Linked DNA regions of Arabidopsis thaliana. The protein of the gene in region 2 purifies or fractionates together with the protein of the main gene of each other region. This does not show direct contact. Each region holds a gene or a part of one and is shown on either strand. Other genes may lie near its edges. The genes, in order: IAR4, MAB1 and MTO2.

Region 1 (5,934 bases), on a different chromosome or scaffold from region 2:
GTACAACCAAACAAGGAAACTATAGATTCACTCACATGTCTCAATCATTTAACAATGATTTACTGTTATAAAAGTTAATGCAATTTCACAATTTGTAGAAACTAGTACAAGAATTTTAAGAGAAATCAATATCAAATGTTAGGATAGTTTTTTAAACTATGGTTTCACCGACGAATAAGACTCGTGACTATCATTCATAATTTGTTTTCTCAGAAATTTCATTAGAAAATATATATGTTTTTGTTGTCGGCACATTTTATTGGGATATTAAAGTTGAAGTTTTGTTCTCTTCTTAGTGTTAGTATATATATTATTGGGCTGTTGGTAGCGACTACCAAGCCAATTAAATCCGAATATTCCCGTTGGGTAGTGCAGCTCATGGTCAGACGTAACATCTTATTATATGAATAACATTTTCAATAATACCATTCATGTATCACTTTCTCGAGTTTTTCTTAAGGACTTTTTCTCGGATATGAGAAGAGAACACGATGAAGATTCCGTTGAACATATTTGATTTGATGATATAGAGAGAATATTCTTGAATAAGTTAAAACACTGAACACTATATAATATATAAACTTGTTACTTGTCAAACTAATTATTTACCGAGTAAAAAACTAAGCAAAGGTTTGTTTGGTTTCTATTGGCTTACAGAGAGAACCAAATGCTTGGTTAACAAAGGAAAAAGCAATCAATCATCAATGTTCTTTTGTAGTGATTAGTTGTTGCAAGAAATCTAATCTAATTTAAGTATTAAGAAAGAGAGTGAGTGGCGTCATAGAGTTTACCTATTCAATAAGATTTGGTGTTGATGTGGGGGATGATGAGAAAGGGACTTGTAGAGTAGAAGCAAAGATTATTCAAGTTAGGTGGTGGAGACATAACTATTCATGTGGTTTTATTGGTACCGACGCAGAAGTTGGTTTTGCCTTTTTATTTTTATATATATTAGATAACGAATTTAACACGGGGTCTTGATGATTTTGTAATCACATGTCGACATTTTTCTACTTGAGACAAAGAAGCTGATGATCTTTCTCTTAACTACTCTCTGCTTATTTCTCTAACTTTATCTCACAGAGTGATATCCGAAGCTTCTTTTGCTTGGTGTCAAATTGAAGTGTGGGAAACAAAAGTTGGCAAACTGGTGAAGCAATGGCTTTACACTTGAAATGAAAATACAAAAAAAAAAAACCAGAAATATTTTTGGTAGCAAGTTAAAAAGATTTGTGTAGCCTTGCCTTCTGATTTATTGAACCAATCATCTCCTTGGGAAGCAAGATTCTATGGAAGTGTTACTTTGAGTTCTTTTCTGTCTGCTCCAAACGACTGCAAATTTCAATGGAGGAAAATGCGTAAATCTCTAGATTCATATGCCAACAACTACCAACGCCACAGGGTTACAAAAGAAATAAATAGATGTGAAAGAGTGGGATGTGATAGTACCTCAACTCCGCAGTCTTTCACGTACATGTTTGTGAATAGCTCAGATGCATCTGGTATCGGGCTCTCCTGAAACAAGTTAAACAGCAAGGAATTAGTTCGTGTTTTGATAAATAACAAGGACAAAGATAGAAACAATTAAGATTATTACCTTGGCCTGAGCTACGGCGTCATCTACTTCTTTCCTTATCTCTTTCTCCATGTCCTTTAATGTCAAAAGAATTTTGTCATTTCCATAGTCAAGTTTGATGGTTGTATGTATAATTTTTTTCAAGCTTTTTGTCTGGAATGGGAAGGTGGTGAACAGGGTACCTTAAGCTCTTTTTCGGTAGCTATGTCATGAGTTAAGAGCAACTTTCGCACCCTTTCAATTGGATCACGCACCTAAAGGTAACACCGATGAAAACTTTACAGATTAAAAAGTTTCAAATTGCATATGGTTGGAGCAGTAGTCTTACAAATGAACAAAGAACTAACCTGTCTCACGCCAGAGATTTCATCACGAGTACGGTAAGTGCTTCCTGGGTCAGACATAGAGTGACCGTGGTATCTGTAAGTGTCCATCTCAAGGATCTGCGCAAATAATGGCAATGGTATGTTGGTCATAATCACTAGGTAGAGAATGGATTATAAAAATACGATAAATGTCAACGCTATGTGATTGAATTCACAAGATCCAAAATGCTTGTCCCATTTGTGTTGGTGACAAAATGCAAAAAAGGAAAATTGGTTGGAAGCTGAAGTCAACATGGTATAATTTCACTTCATAAGTAGGTACACACCAAAAACTCCAAGAGATATTAGTGATATCTACTTATCTAGTACTTTTAATAGAAATCCTAGGAGCTTGTCAATCACGCCTGTCACACTCTCCCGGAAACAGCAAACAAATTAACAACATAGGTACTTAAGAAGTCTTGTTTTCTCCAAATAAACCTCGTTCAATCCAAATCTAGGCTAGGTAGAAGTTACCAGCTAACCATTCTCCCCAACCAAAGTAGCATCACACATGCAAGTAATAAATGATTCTACGAATTCTTAATTTGCATAAAATGCTAAGAGTCATATTGATTAGGTATCGATTTCATAAAACCAACAGGAGCAGCTGTAATACTTACAATAGGACCATTCTTGAGAGCATGCTCCTTGGCAAACTTGCACGCCTGTTTCACAGCCAGTGCATCCATACCATCCACCTAGAAAACAAAGCAAAAGATAATCATTCGTTAGCTTTAAGTTCACACTCTCACCAATCAGAAAAACAACGGATACAATTCTATTGGGTAAAGTAATAAAAAACTGAAGCAACTTCTGTAAAACAACAAAGATAGAGACTTTGGAGACAATTCCTTTTGGTAGTTCTCACAAAGTTACACTTGATCCGAACACACAACTGTGAAGGTTTGTCCTTTCTCATTCAATTTGTGTCTAAAACCCTATCCTCACTACCTAGCTGTTCCATAGTCGACCCAGTGGTCTAAAACACACAAGGAAACCCTGTATCAACTAAAAGCGTGCTATAGACAACTCAGTCTCATCAAAGCAAAAGCATTGTAAAGCTCAAGATCATGCCAAAAGACAACTCAGTCTCACCTTCAAGCCAGGAACATAATCTCCACGCTTGAAATAAGCCGGAGACTTAGCCGACCTCCATGTAGCCGTTCCCATTCCATCTAAACATCAAACAATCCAAATCAACACAAAAGTCTCAACAATTCCACCAAACAAATTACAATTAACCAAAAAATAAACTCACAATGGTTATTCTCGCAAACAAGAATCGCAGGCAAATCCCACAAAGCCGAAATGTTCAAGGCCTCAAACAACTGTCCCTGATTCGCAGCACCATCACCATACAAAGCAAAAGTCACAGCCTCATCCTTATTATACTTCTGAGCAAAAGCCAAACCACATCCCAATGGAATCTGAGCACCAACAATCCCATGTCCACCATAAAAGGAAGCATCTTTCTTATAGAAATGCATAGATCCTCCTTTACCATGAGAACAACCAGTTTTTCTCCCCATAAGCTCAGAGAAAGCATCAACAAGCTTCCCACCACGACCAATGAAAGTACAGTGATCACGATACGATGTGATAATCGCATCTTTTTTGGTAATCGCCGCTTCCATTCCCACCGCTAAAGCCTCTTGACCATCGTACAAATGACAGAACCCACGGATCAGCTTCGCCTTGTAAAGAGAATCTGCTGCGATCTCCATCCTCCTCATCCGAGCCATGTCACGGAAAAAGGCTAAGATCTCCTCCGATGAAGTCTCGACGGAGCGTGACGGTGATTCACATAGATGCGATGTGAAAGGGACGGCGGTTTCGATTGTGATCGGTGATGAGTCTGTGGAAACATGACGGCGGATGGAGGAGGGCAAGGCGGTAATCGCCGGCTTTAGGAAAGTGTTGGATCGTGAAGAAAGTCGTGATAACGCCATCGCCGAAGCTCTCCGATTTGCTTTTAGAAATTCTCTTTTTTGCAGTCAAAAATCGAATCTTTTTAAAGTGAGGGAAAGAGTTAGGAGAGGGCGAAGCGTCGTTTATGGAAAAGGTCAAACCTTTTATGGTCATTTGACTCATTTCTATATAACATACCATAACAAAATGAAATTTTTGATAAATGTTACAACAACATACAAAACTTTACAACAAGAGAGTGAATAAAGACAAACTTTACATATGTAACATCATTTTTGTGAGTGATTGTTTTCTTTTTCAGTCACAGACAACAAAAAGCCAAATCCTTTGTTGCTTCTTCTTCTTATGAAGATAGAGAATGCAGTTTGGCTCTATCCGGTGAAGTCAACAATGGAGAATTGCCACTTTTGTTTTTGTTTTGTCTCTGTTAAGTTGGAGAGTGAATGAACAAGTTGAGTTGATTTGGTATCCTTCTTCCAGATTGTTACAGGCTGGTCACAAGAAGTTATTTTTGTAATATTGTAACCTCATTTGCCTTACCCAAGAATCCTGATTGTGGCACAAAGTTTTTCTTCTCTTTTTAACTCGCACCAACAAATCTTCTGTTTCTAGTACATAGGAGACCTGCAAGAGATTTTCAAGAACGTGCTTTCAAGTGCTGGTCTCTCATGGATATACTCATAAGCGGTAAGCGTGATATAGGGAAGAAGATAAAAGTGTTACCTTTGAAGAACCGCAAGCTATCTTACACTCCAAACCATTTTTGATCTTAACTTCATCTGTGCTGTATAACTGTTCATCTTCACGACAAACTTTGCGCTTGTTCCTGGAGAAAACGAAAAATGGCATTGGCTTTGATGAGTGACCCACTAGGTTTCAGAGATCAAGGGACAGTCATTTGTTCATGTTTTACATTTACCTATTTAAATAGATTCTGCGATCCTCCCTTGCATTTGGTTGTATGGAGAGGAAGTCATTGTGGAGATAAGCTGCAAAGGTCGGGTCAATGGATACAGATGTCACATCGGGCTTATCAAGACCGTTGCACATAAGCTGAATAGAGAGTTTCGCTGGGGTTGATAATCTCTGCATACACATGAGGTTTTGGAGTCCAAAAGCATGATCAGCAGTGCATCGACAGAATATAAGTAGCTAATGTAAGATGCAGCAAAAACTTACACATTCAATACGGTAAATATTCTCATCAGGGAGGAGGACACGGGTATTATCGTAATACACAGCATCAAAAATCGTTTCAGGCCTTCTGGATTTCTCATAAAAATAAAGCTGAAGAAGCTTGTTGTCCATCTCATCAGCTACTACTACTTGTAGCTGAAGAATGACCACACGTATGTTAGTAAAAAGCAAGTAAAGATAGAGAGGTGAATACATAGAGAAAACATCAAAGAGCAAAAATACTCACATGCTTGATGAATTTATGGATCAGTTTGTCCAATGTGAAGAGAATATAAGACTGAGTCCCGATTATCGCTCGGCAGTCATCTTCAAACTTGGCATTATCAGATGTACCATCAAGTAAGTTGTAGAGTGCAGTCATGAATCTGTTCCACATTAATTAAAGTTATAAGTATGGAGCACATATGAATCCCAGAAACACACACAATCTCTGCAATAAAAAGCAAATTTCACCTAGCATAGGAATCAGTAGGATTTTTGGTATTTGAGGTCCTCCACTTTCCTTCCGGGGATGATGAGTTAACTTTTGCTGATAGTATTCTCTCATACAATATCTGTCAAGAGTAATAGCGTAAAGTTAGCTAGTGAAAACTCTTTGTACTTTAGATTATACTGTTTATAATTTTTTCAAACTGTATATGATCTTTAGCTCTTACCCGGTGCAGCCTGAAAAGCACGTAAAACGAATCATTTCCATAGAAAACTTGGGAGTTCTTCAGAGAGTCTTTGTCCTTGTCATGCAAAGCTATAGCTGAAGGAACATACTTTACTAAGGGCTTTACATGCAGCAAGAATCGTGCTGAAACGGGTAAGGCAGACCCATTTTCTTCAGCATCATGTGCATCAGCCATACATTCAGCCTCA
Region 2 (7,241 bases):
CAAGCAAACTTAGATGTAAGAAAATCCTCATCTTATCCCATTTATACTCATGGACACGCACATAAACACACAATCTTCATATGAGCATATATATATATATATATTCCTCAACGCATTCACTAGTTTTAGTCACACTGCTTGCATCAAGTTATTGAGAATACATGCATATGCATAGGCTTATAGATCAGCTATACATGTCAATTATCTAGCATGGTATTTTTTCGTTCCAATGCAGAAGATTCTGTAATATTGCCCCTTGCTAATGTGTGTTTGCAGAGATGGAGATCGATATCACAAACAAATGGAAAGAGCAAGAGTGAGAAGTTTCCGCCTCCTCACCAGGACGGTGCAGTTGGGTACCCATTGGAAGATCTATCAAAGAAAACCTCAGTATTTGGTGCAAAGACTGAGACTTCTTTTGGGTTATCGAGATCATTAAAGTCTGGGGAAGGGACATCAATGAGAAAGATTTCAAACAAAGACGGGGCTCGTGGGGCTTCTTCTAGAAAGTACATATGGGGACTTAAACCTCCTCCAGCACTCGGGCTATCGATGGACTTACTTTTCAGGAGCAGATCAGAAGTTTTTGGGATCCGGAGATAGGAAAGATGATTGAGAAATGAGTTGGAGTTATATTAGTGCATCAAAATAAGAGATTGCTTCCGTTTCAAGAGAGAATGGTTGAAGGAGTTCAAATTCTTTGTAGCAGAATAGAGTGCACAAATAGAAAATGTGATTTTGACTCTGATGTAAAAACATAATTCAGGTAGCTTTAGAATCCTACTTTTAAATTGTATAGTTTTTGAAATGGATTTTGAGGCTTCCAAGATTGGTCTTGTGATAAGAGTGTTGCTAAAAATTGTCGTGAATAGATGTTCAAACATTTTGATTGCTGCTTCAAATATTGGAACTTGTTTAAATTCGTTTTCATCAACATTTTTTTTCCACACCAAAGCTTTTTCCTTTTTTATCCATAGGTTGATCAATAGCGTTTAAATCAAATTACAATTATATCACCAAAAGTATATGCTAAACGTCATTGGAGGTTAACTCACTAATACCGTTTTCAAAAATAATAATACGAGAATAAAAGAATATCAGACATGAATTAGGCACACCTCATTCATTATTTGATGGAAAAACAGGTGTTGTGAACTCCTTTACTAGCATTCTCGATCAATTTTTATCAATTAACCCCAAAGATTAGAATTATCAATTTGGGAAGGGACAAAAAGAAAAACGAAAACCGCTGCAGTAAAGAATAATAGCAAAAGATGAAATAAATCACGAGGAATGGTGGTTTCTTATAGCAAAAGTGAGAGACAGAGAGATCATTTTTCTCCTTTTTTCTTATTTTCCTTTCCCTTTAAAGATCAAAGAAGAAATGTGTTGATGTTGACGATTTTATTTCGATCTGTAACAAGCTCTCTTTGATGCACGAACGATGTCCTCTATCTGCAGAATCATTTCATCTCAAATTCATTAATAACAGACAAAATTGAACCAAGTTTTCGATGCAAAGAAGGGACAAAACAAACCTGAGGAAGAGCCAATCTCTCTAGGTTAGCTGCATACGGCATTGGAACATCAGCTCCTGCAATCCTCTCGACCGGTGCATCCAAGTACGAAAAGCTCTCTTCTACAACCGACGCACTGATCCATTACGGAAAAAGTTTAATCCGTGTTTTAAAACTATTATACAATCCAGGTGATAATAAGATCTCTATTGAATTAAGGAATTGAAGTTAACCAAATTTCTGCACAGACTCCATGTTGTGGGAAACCTTCTTCAACTGTTACCAATCTACTCGTTTTCCTCACTGAAGCATTGATGGTGGCTCGGTCAAGCGGACGGATTGATCGAAGATTTATTACCTAAGCATTTTAACAAAGAAAAAAGTTCAGAGTTCACGTATCAGATTTAAGCAGGTTTACAAGAGAGAAATCTAAAAATCTTCATACCTCAGCACTTATTCCCTCTTCTGCGAGCTTCTCAGCTGCCTAGAATCAGGTACATTAAATAAATAATTCAAAGACGGAACAAAGAGAAACACCAGTTTGTAAAAACAAAGCATGTGAGGCAAAACAACATCCAAAAGGAATATTTGAGCTATAGCCATAAAACTAGCAAGAACGTTCTCAGTTTTAATTACTAAAAGGAAAGTGGAGGAAATGGCAAACCTTGAGGGCGAAACCGACCATCTTCGAGAAAGTTACTATCGTTACGTCCTTTCCTTCTCGTTCAATCTGTTATAGGCAAAGACAACATTAAAGCATCCAACTGCTAGATAGAAGAAAGATGAAAGAGACACATAAGAAGAAGACAATAGATACTGAGTGACAGTACCTTGGCTTTGCCTATGGGAAGACAGAAACTTGAATCAAGGGCTTCTTCTGAAATAGGGAATGATTCACCATATCTGCATGATGAAATCAATTTAAGGAGGTACTGATATGAGACCGTAGGCTCTAATCACATGCAAGAACTCAAATTAGGAATACTACTTACAGTAACTCGTTTTCAAGGAAGACAACAGGGTCAGGGTCTCTAATGGCAGCTTTAAGAAGACCACGAGCATCTTCAGCTGAATACGGAGCAAGGACTTTCAAACCAGGAACTGAGGCATACCACGCTGCATAGCACTACAAGATATAGAAGAAAAGCTCCATTTAACATCGAGATACAGTTACAAGGCCACAAGCAGTCATAAACACAGATAACTTGTGTATCCTTGAACTGATCATATTAAACATTCTACGCCCCACAGAGTCATAGTTTCATGTGTGTGTAATCTTACTTAGAGAAACAGTTGCATGCTACTGTGATAGGAACCTTTATCTTAATCAATCAGTCAATGCCTCAATTATTTAGGGGAAATTTGATCAATGTTAAAGTAAAAGCCAGCTCCATCATCCTATATGAATATCTTTATCAGTTTAGTAGCTGAAGGTCTCTTTTGAAAGAATGCAAAGTAACAAATTATTCAATTTTTTTTGGGTGAGCGTTTACCTGAGAATGTTGAGCTCCAACACCAGCAGCAGCACCATTGGGTCCTCTAAAGACGATGGGTACATTTATCTGTCCAGCAGACATGTAATTTGACTTTGCAGCGGAATTGATGATATGATCAATTGCCTGAAAGAAGATTACTAGATATTAGGATACACATTGGGAAATAATTAGAACTTTAGTGCACTTTAATGTCCGAAAGAAGATAAAGTGTACGATAACTGGAAACATATTGCACCAGAGTGCATGATCTGAGTAACGCAACAATTATGCATAATCAAGTCAAAGAAAGAGGCAAAATGTAGTATTCAAAGAATATAACAAAAACCAACGCTAACCTGCATAGAGAAGTTAAACGTCATAAATTCTACAACGGGCTTTAAGCCAGCATAGGCAGCACCAACTCCAATTCCAGTAAATCCAGCCTAAAACATGGTTAAACGATAACTGTCAGAAATCTTCTCAATCAAGAAACATGGAAATAAGGATTGAGACTGCAGTACAAGATAATAGTATAAGAATTCCAAACCTCAGTAATAGGGGTATCGTAAACTCTCTCAGGACCATATTTCTCCAAAAGGCCTTTAGTGATCTATGAGTACATGATAGACCTCCAGCATCAGATCAGGGTCAAAACAAGAGAAATTTAACTGGAAAATATCTATTTCCATCAGGTCAAATAATTCTAACCTTGTAGGCACCTTGATATTGGCCAACCTACAATAACAAGATAAAAGATGAGATATTGATATCTGATTAGAAATTGCAAGATGAATTTATCAAACATGTTAGCTGCAACTAACCTCTTCACCCATGACAAATACTTTAGGATCAGCAGACATTTCCTCATCAATTGCAGAATTTAGAGCATCTCTGACTGTCATCTAAACAATGATTTGCACAAAAAATTGTAAGCAATATTACAATATTTTGGGAAATTCCACATACAAGGAGAAATATGTTTGACAAATATTAACAAAGACTGACGGCCGTATCAGCTTTATCAACTATATGAAAAAAAAATTGGGTTCTCGAAACGTAAATTAAAATCTAACTTAAGCTACACTTGTTGGGATTCTAAATGTCACTACACTATTTATGTGAGTCAGCTATCAATCCACCATTTTCAATGTCAGAACTAATGAGAGAAAGCTAATAGGCTTAAACATCTATGCAATGATTATCGACCCTTGCGCTTCTTGGATGCTCACAGTTTACAAAATCAAAAAACATCCAATATAGCTAAACTCGACATTTCGGTGAACACAAAAAAAAAAGTAATCGACATAGTTTGCAGAAGACAACATTAAGCTATCATCCAAAGAAAAAGTTTAGAGTAGAAAAGTGGTTTGGCAGACATTAACAGCTCTAATCATCCTAAATTGACCACAATTATCTTCCAATAGCTCATTAAAACCAAACCTGTATAATAACGCTTCTAAACCATCCGAAAATTCAATAAAAGACATTTTACCTCTTTTGCACCAGCTGCATAGCTCCTAGCAGAAACCAATGCGAATCGCGTCCTCCTAAGAGTCTGATCAAAAACCAAATTTCGAAAATCAGAAAACAAAATCCGAACCTAAAAATCTCCCAAGTAAAAATCTCAAAATCGTAATCGCACTGAAACAAATAAAAGGAGTAAAAAAGTCTCATACCGAAGCTCCATCGATGGCTCTTTGCCTCAAGATTCCCAACATTCTCTCTGATTAACAAACAAAAAGCAACAGTAATCGCAGGATCAAAAGCCCCGTAGATCTAACAATCATCGGAAATTGAATAGAGAAATCATAAATCCGGAGAAACAGAGTAGATCAACATCGGAGATAGATTTGATTACCTGAGCTTTGTACGATCTAACCACGCCGGCGAAAAAGTGAGAGACGGCGGATTAAGAAGAGAGCAGATACGACTCAAAGCGTGAGCGAAAGGGCACTGTTTTTTTGTTGTTGTTCTAAAACACAACGAAATGATTTCAATTAGCTGAATAAATGAGAGAGTAGGTCTTCTTCATCGAATTGTACAGGAGCCGTCCGATTAATATCTGCTGGTCATGATCGATGGTTGACATTTCGTTATATACTTTTTCTTTTCCAATATTATATTATTCCATTTGATGTTGTTGAAGTTTGTAAAGGAAAGTGGATGTGACCAAATTTAATTTGACGTTATACTTATTTTAATTCAGAGAGATTCGCTTTTTTTAACTAACCGAATCCATAAAGATGCAAACCGAATCATAATCCATATCGGTTTAACTTTTCTTCGGTTCAAATGGTTCGGTTCGGTTTGGTTTAAGATTGCAAAGAATCAGCTGGTCATTATGGCAGATGTTGAAGTAGCTATTCTTCTCCAAATCGGTTGTGAACTTAGTGAATGCAGAATCATTCTCTTGTGAACCTGGAGATTTGCAGAAGCTGCAGCTGAATTAACTATTATCAATTTGCATTTTGTGAGATAAAATGGACTTAGCTCGCAAAAGAGCAGAATCAATATGATGTGATATGTTTCTACATTTTAAAGTGAATTTGGAGTCTAATTGTAGTTTTGTAATCTGAAGTGCTAATTAGTTCAAAACTCTGACAAAGAAAAAAAGAGAGCAAAACACTGAATTCATAGTCTCTCTCTGTTTCATGGTTGAACAGCAGAATCAGTACTGTTAGTTTCTTTCTGTTTTCTTTCAGCTTGAAGGGATCTGCAAAGTGATTCAAGCTTGTCTTTCTGTTTCTTTGTCTTCTCCAACAGTTTCTTCAATCTTTCACGCTGTTCAAGGTCAACCAAAAGTGTGATTTTACTGGTTTCATAACCAAAATCTACAAACCCTTAAAGATAGTGAGAGAACAGACGGTTTTGTTTTACCTCTTCGACGAGTTCTATGAGAGTGATATCCGACTTCTCAGTTTTGTTTTTCAAGAATGCGTTTTCTTTTCTGAGTTCTTTGATTGCTTTTGACATCTACTCAAAAAACCAATAGAGACAGGATCAAGTTAATAAGATCACATAAATAGCACTTATGATCTTTCAAAGAACCTCGAAGGTATAAAACTGTTATTACCTTATCGATTTCTTGTTTGAATGTTTCAAACACCTCATTGCTCTTAACCAACGCGTCCTGCATAACCAAACAGCCTTTCACTTTACAGTCTTTTCATATAATATCAGTAAAAAACATATCTTAAGAGAGTATTGTATCACACCCAAAGCAAGCAATCTTATTATCTGTGATCACAGTGCATCGAGAAAACGATTAAGACTTATTTAGGAAGTGTAAAAGGGGAAGAGAGCAGACCTGGAACTGCTGGAATTTATCTCCATCAGAAGTCAGCTGCAACCGCAAATTTTTCTCAGTAGACAAAAGCTGAGAAACTTGATCTGCGTAAACTTTCATCTGAGATTGTTCATGGATGAGTTTCTCCTCGTGCTGTTTAATTTTTAAAGCAGAGATCTGTAGCTCAAGTGTTTTCTGCTTCAACTGTCCATTCGAAAATGAGATGTTGTCAAGTAGACATCGCAGTTAAGCCAATTATTTTGGCTAAATCATGCTTCATATATAGTTGGAAAAAACGAATAATTTAATTACCCTTTGCTCATGTTGTTGTTCTGAAAGCATAAATTGATCAGCCAGGTGCTTCAACTTCGTCCTTAACCTGGAGATTAAGAAACAAACCCATTGTAATTAGAATGGACCTTTATAATATGTTACTGAGCTGATACAAGCAAAGCCGTTTTAAAAGCAATACACATGTAAGAATATAGTTTCCAGAATGTGGGCGAGCATATTCATACTGTATTAACTTAAACTGCAACAAAACTATACATATATAATAAACATACTATAATTTTCCTACTCCAAATGAACATGTTATGATTGAGTTCTTTCCGCTTACATCTCATTTTCTTTGAGTTGCGTGAGGCTTTCATTCTTTTGCTCGTCCAACTTAATGCTCACATCCTATAAACAAAAGAGGATTAGGAAGGTAGAGAGCATAAGAAAAAAATCAATCAAATAAATTCTGATTTTGTTTTTGTAAGTTTTTGATGTTGCAAAAGCCTGCAAGCAATTCATCAAACTTAGTTCTATCAATCTGTAACTTGAAACCAATATGGACAATTTTCTACTTTGTTTAGTTCCAATTATTTCCAAGGACTAAATTTTAGTGTAGATCGGTACTAACATTTGCCAATGTCAGTGTAGAGAGTTTCAGAAAGAAGAAAAAGATATTGCCATGAC
Region 3 (4,535 bases), on a different chromosome or scaffold from region 2:
GTATTTTCTGGTTTGTTATATATAGCCCACTGATTAGTTTGATTTGTTCAAACTCGCACGTTCTGCCGTTTTCGGAGAAAAGAATAATCAAACGACGCGTAGTTTGAATCATAGTACGTTGAGTAGATTTCACGACCAAAAGAAATTGCATTTGCACCAAACTAATCCGTCACCGTCGTAGGAGACTCATAACATCTGAAGACCTAAAATTCAAACAGTACGATTTCATCTTTCTCGAGCTCTAGATCAATCGTCATTCTGCTTTCTTCTAGATCGGTCCTGATTGTTTCCCATTGATCTTTGATCCGGAAGCTGTGTAAAATGGCGTACGTCGACCATGCGTTCTCGATAACGGACGAGGACATTATGATTGAGACTTCATACACCGTCAATAACCGACCGCCGGTGAAGGAGATCGCACTCGCGGTGGCTTTACTCGTGTTCGGAACCCTAGGAATTGTCTCCGGTTTCTTCATGGCTTATAATCGAGTTGGCGGTGATCGAGGCCACGGTAGCGATTTCTTCACCTTTCTTACTTATTCCACATTTATTGATCCAGTCTTGGAGTAGAAATTGGGAATTCATGAGAGAATATGTGGGACTTATCTTTGCTAGTTTGAGAGATTTAGAAAACAGTAATTGATTTCAGCTAGATTGTTTTAGGAATTTTTTTAGATTTGGTGAAGTTATGTTATAATTTTGGTAATTAAGCTGATAGATATAGATTGCAAGTGCTCTGGTTAGCTACGGTGGAGTGTAATTTCGTTTCAGCTTGGCCTTTTGCTCTCTGTTTTCTGGAGATTTGGATGAATAGACACAAGTTTTCCAAAGGCATACGATTTGATTTCATTGTTAGAATGATTAGTAAACTTCCGATAGAAACTAGTATATGATGATTCTAAGCTTCTCTTATCTGTGAGATAAAAAAGGGAAGGATCTCCGTTGGATTCCATTAACTTTTTAGATCACTATCATCACATACTGTTATTGATATATCCCAATTCTGCTTGTAACATAGACATGAGATTCACTTCAAATTAGCTAGTTTGCTCTTCTTCCTCTGGGCTTGTAATTCATTAATGCATTTCATACATCCCCAATGCAATACTGCAAAGCGAAAGCAAGTATCAGCATTGTACTTAAACTTGATTTCATTTGATTTGCTGTTTTCTTCCGTTTTGCCGGAACTACTTCTTTCTCATCATTGCATCAATGACCTATCATTCTCTGTTTGATATTTTTGATGGTGAAACCAGGGATTTTCTTCATCGTCCTCGGGTGTCTTCTGTTCATTCCCGGGTTTTACTATACACGGATTGCGTATTATGCTTACAAAGGATACAAAGGTTTCTCCTTCTCAAACATACCGCCCGTTTAGGTGTCCCCTTTTGAATCTCTCCTACTCAAAATGTATAGAGATGTTTTATTACTCTATAGCAATGATTGACTTGTTTTCTCTTTTGTGTAGTTTTATAGAATTTGAGTCCAGTCCTTTCTTACTTTCTCCTTCTTCTTGTCAAATAAATTCGAGTCTGTGACAGTTTAGTCAGATTTATACTTACATATCTATAAATATACACCCGGTTCAAATTGATATTTGTTTCTATAAAGATTTCCAATTCGAACCAAGTAATATGGGATACTTGGAGTGTTCACATGTTGCTTTCAGATGTAATTGTTCATTTTCCATCAAATTCCTCTGGATGCAGTATTTAATTGATTACAAATTTGGCCAACTTACACATTGTTACTACTAGAGTTTCAATCTATATCATGATGGTGTATTGGTGTTATATCAAAATTAAAACGTGATTCTTATGTGAATTTTTATGTTCAACATTATTGTTTTCTTTGGGTCAAATGTAACCTTTTATCTTTTTGTCATCAACATGAATGTTCCTTATAACATGCACTTTATTAGCCTGTTTAAAGCAAAACGTGACAAAACATAAATATTCAATTGCTATATACGGAAAGCGATCCAGATATTTGAATGATTAATGGGCCCAAAATATCTCTCTACGTCACATACATAATCCCAATTAACCTAAAAGCTTAAACCGACTAGCCGGTTCTAAGACATTTCCGGTTTAAGTATCTGAATATAGTTTTCTCTCTCTCTCACTCGTGTCCTCTCCTCAAAATCCTCAGCCGCATCTCACTTCTCATTCTCTAGAAAAAATGGCTTCGTCTTGTCTCTTCAATGCCTCTGTATCGTCCTTAAACCCTAAACAAGACCCCATCCGCCGCCACCGGTCAACCTCTCTCCTCCGCCACCGCCCCGTCGTCATCTCCTGTACCGCCGATGGCAACAACATCAAAGCCCCGATCGAGACAGCGGTCAAGCCTCCTCACCGTACCGAGGATAACATTCGAGATGAGGCTCGTCGTAATCGTTCCAACGCCGTGAATCCATTTTCAGCTAAATACGTTCCGTTTAATGCAGCTCCTGGATCCACGGAGTCTTACTCTCTCGACGAGATCGTGTACCGTAGCCGCTCCGGTGGTTTGCTTGATGTCGAACACGATATGGAGGCTTTGAAGCGATTCGATGGCGCGTATTGGCGTGATCTCTTCGATTCGCGTGTTGGTAAAAGCACATGGCCTTATGGATCGGGTGTTTGGTCGAAGAAAGAGTGGGTTCTTCCTGAGATCGATGACGACGACATCGTTTCAGCTTTTGAAGGAAACTCGAATCTGTTCTGGGCAGAGAGATTTGGTAAGCAGTTTCTAGGTATGAATGATCTGTGGGTGAAACACTGTGGGATTAGTCATACAGGAAGTTTCAAGGATCTTGGAATGACTGTTTTGGTTAGTCAAGTTAATCGTCTGAGAAAGATGAAACGACCTGTGGTTGGTGTCGGATGTGCTTCCACCGGAGATACTTCTGCTGCTCTATCTGCTTACTGCGCCTCCGCTGGAATCCCATCGATTGTGTTTTTACCGGCGAACAAGATCTCTATGGCTCAGCTGGTTCAGCCGATAGCTAATGGTGCGTTTGTTTTGAGTATTGACACTGATTTTGATGGGTGTATGAAGCTGATTAGAGAGATAACTGCGGAATTGCCGATTTATTTGGCGAATTCGTTGAATAGTTTGAGGTTAGAAGGGCAGAAAACTGCAGCTATTGAGATTTTGCAGCAGTTTGATTGGCAAGTTCCTGATTGGGTGATTGTTCCTGGAGGTAACCTAGGAAACATCTATGCCTTTTACAAAGGGTTTAAGATGTGTCAAGAACTGGGACTTGTCGATAGGATCCCGAGGATGGTCTGTGCACAAGCAGCTAATGCTAATCCTCTTTACTTGCACTACAAGTCTGGTTGGAAGGACTTCAAGCCCATGACTGCAAGTACCACTTTCGCCTCTGCGATTCAGATCGGTGACCCTGTCTCCATCGATAGAGCTGTGTACGCTCTCAAGAAGTGCAATGGTATTGTAGAAGAAGCCACAGAGGAGGAGCTGATGGATGCGATGGCTCAAGCGGATTCGACAGGAATGTTTATCTGTCCTCATACAGGTGTTGCTCTAACTGCTCTGTTCAAGCTGAGGAATCAAGGAGTGATTGCACCGACTGATCGAACTGTGGTAGTGAGTACTGCTCATGGGTTGAAGTTTACTCAGTCTAAGATAGATTATCACTCCAATGCCATCCCTGACATGGCTTGCAGATTCTCCAATCCTCCTGTTGATGTGAAAGCAGATTTCGGAGCTGTCATGGATGTTCTCAAGAGTTACTTAGGAAGTAATACACTTACGTCATAAGAGACAAGACCATAATCTTTAGCTGTTTTGTTTTTTGAAAACTTTTAGACGTTTGTTTGCGTTACTCTTCAACTCATCTCTCTGTGATCTTTATCTGTTTCTCAGTTTTCCAATAAAGTTCTATCGCAAAGTTTGAATCATTTTATCTTCTTTGTTTTTTGTGTAAGCGATAAATCTAAAGACTCCGGTCAAAATCAACCTGTTGCAGATTATATTGTTACAACTAGATGCGTCTTGGAGAATGCATAAAAGAAAAAAGTCAAAAAACCGAATTGTTCATGAGTAATCATAGAGCGATACACTCTTGTCATCAGAGACACTAGCAAGTCGACCAGCCCGGACACCGGTTCCACCTGGTGGTCTAAAGGCCACAGACCAAACCTGGTCATTGTGGTTGCTCATTGTCTGAATCGCAGCTCTCATTTTAAGATCCCATAGCCTCACAGTTCTATCGCTTGAGCCGGTTGCTATGGCTCCACCGTCTGGGCTAGCATCAACGCTCAGCACCCAACTCGTGTGCCCTGACATGGACCCCAACAGCGTTTTCCCTTCTGCATCGTGCATGTTCACATGCCCATCATCTGATCCAGAGAAGAGGACTCTCGGGTCTACAGGGGAGAACACAAGGGACCTTACAGGCATATTGTGACCTTCTAGCTGGTGAAGTAGCTTTGAGCGGTCAACATCAAAAACACAGATCGTACCATCCATTGAACCACAAGCAAGTCGTTTCCCATTAGGAGACCAAGCCACCGAGAGAACGAATTTCTTGC

What was found.
Region 1: the proteins of MAB1 (region 2) and IAR4 fractionate together in Arabidopsis thaliana (co-fractionation; one large-scale study listed by BioGRID). This does not show direct contact.
Region 3: the proteins of MAB1 (region 2) and MTO2 purify together in Arabidopsis thaliana (affinity purification with mass spectrometry, with the first as the bait; one large-scale study listed by BioGRID). This does not show direct contact.

Annotation. Positions count from the first base shown.
Region 1 is NC_003070.9:8,559,490-8,565,423, forward strand, and holds IAR4 (thiamine diphosphate-binding fold (THDP-binding) superfamily protein), read right to left. Parts: upstream 4,014-5,934; 5' UTR 3,894-4,013; coding exon 3,203-3,893; intron 3,120-3,202; coding exon 3,040-3,119; intron 2,643-3,039; coding exon 2,565-2,642; intron 2,020-2,564; coding exon 1,924-2,019; intron 1,831-1,923; coding exon 1,759-1,830; intron 1,652-1,758; coding exon 1,598-1,651; intron 1,516-1,597; coding exon 1,450-1,515; intron 1,333-1,449; coding exon 1,288-1,332; 3' UTR 931-1,287; downstream 1-930. Other genes in the region: SNL3 (SIN3-like 3), read right to left, coding at 4,217-4,297, 4,414-4,497, 4,597-4,699, 4,793-4,959, 5,053-5,205, 5,297-5,435, 5,524-5,624, 5,727-5,934. UniProt on the Arabidopsis thaliana protein: The pyruvate dehydrogenase complex catalyzes the overall conversion of pyruvate to acetyl-CoA and CO(2).
Region 2 is NC_003076.8:20,687,140-20,694,380, reverse strand, and holds MAB1 (Transketolase family protein), read right to left. Parts: upstream 5,139-7,241; 5' UTR 4,851-5,138; intron 4,716-4,850; 5' UTR 4,711-4,715; coding exon 4,669-4,710; intron 4,548-4,668; coding exon 4,485-4,547; intron 3,895-4,484; coding exon 3,814-3,894; intron 3,728-3,813; coding exon 3,701-3,727; intron 3,603-3,700; coding exon 3,540-3,602; intron 3,436-3,539; coding exon 3,349-3,435; intron 3,137-3,348; coding exon 3,011-3,136; intron 2,644-3,010; coding exon 2,510-2,643; intron 2,421-2,509; coding exon 2,348-2,420; intron 2,248-2,347; coding exon 2,182-2,247; intron 2,002-2,181; coding exon 1,963-2,001; intron 1,876-1,962; coding exon 1,751-1,875; intron 1,654-1,750; coding exon 1,539-1,653; intron 1,456-1,538; coding exon 1,405-1,455; 3' UTR 911-1,404; downstream 1-910. Other genes in the region: AT5G50860 (Protein kinase superfamily protein), read left to right, coding at 1-15, 277-603; AT5G50840 (alpha-taxilin-like protein), read right to left, coding at 5,642-5,773, 5,870-5,965, 6,066-6,122, 6,300-6,482, 6,591-6,657, 6,898-6,962. UniProt on the Arabidopsis thaliana protein: The pyruvate dehydrogenase complex catalyzes the overall conversion of pyruvate to acetyl-CoA and CO(2).
Region 3 is NC_003075.7:14,598,661-14,603,195, reverse strand, and holds MTO2 (Pyridoxal-5'-phosphate-dependent enzyme family protein), read left to right. Parts: upstream 1-2,140; 5' UTR 2,141-2,181; coding exon 2,182-3,762; 3' UTR 3,763-3,980; downstream 3,981-4,535. Other genes in the region: AT4G29850 (transmembrane protein (DUF872)), read left to right, coding at 322-511, 1,257-1,378; VIP3 (Transducin/WD40 repeat-like superfamily protein), read right to left, coding at 4,039-4,535. UniProt on the Arabidopsis thaliana protein: Catalyzes the gamma-elimination of phosphate from L-phosphohomoserine and the beta-addition of water to produce L-threonine.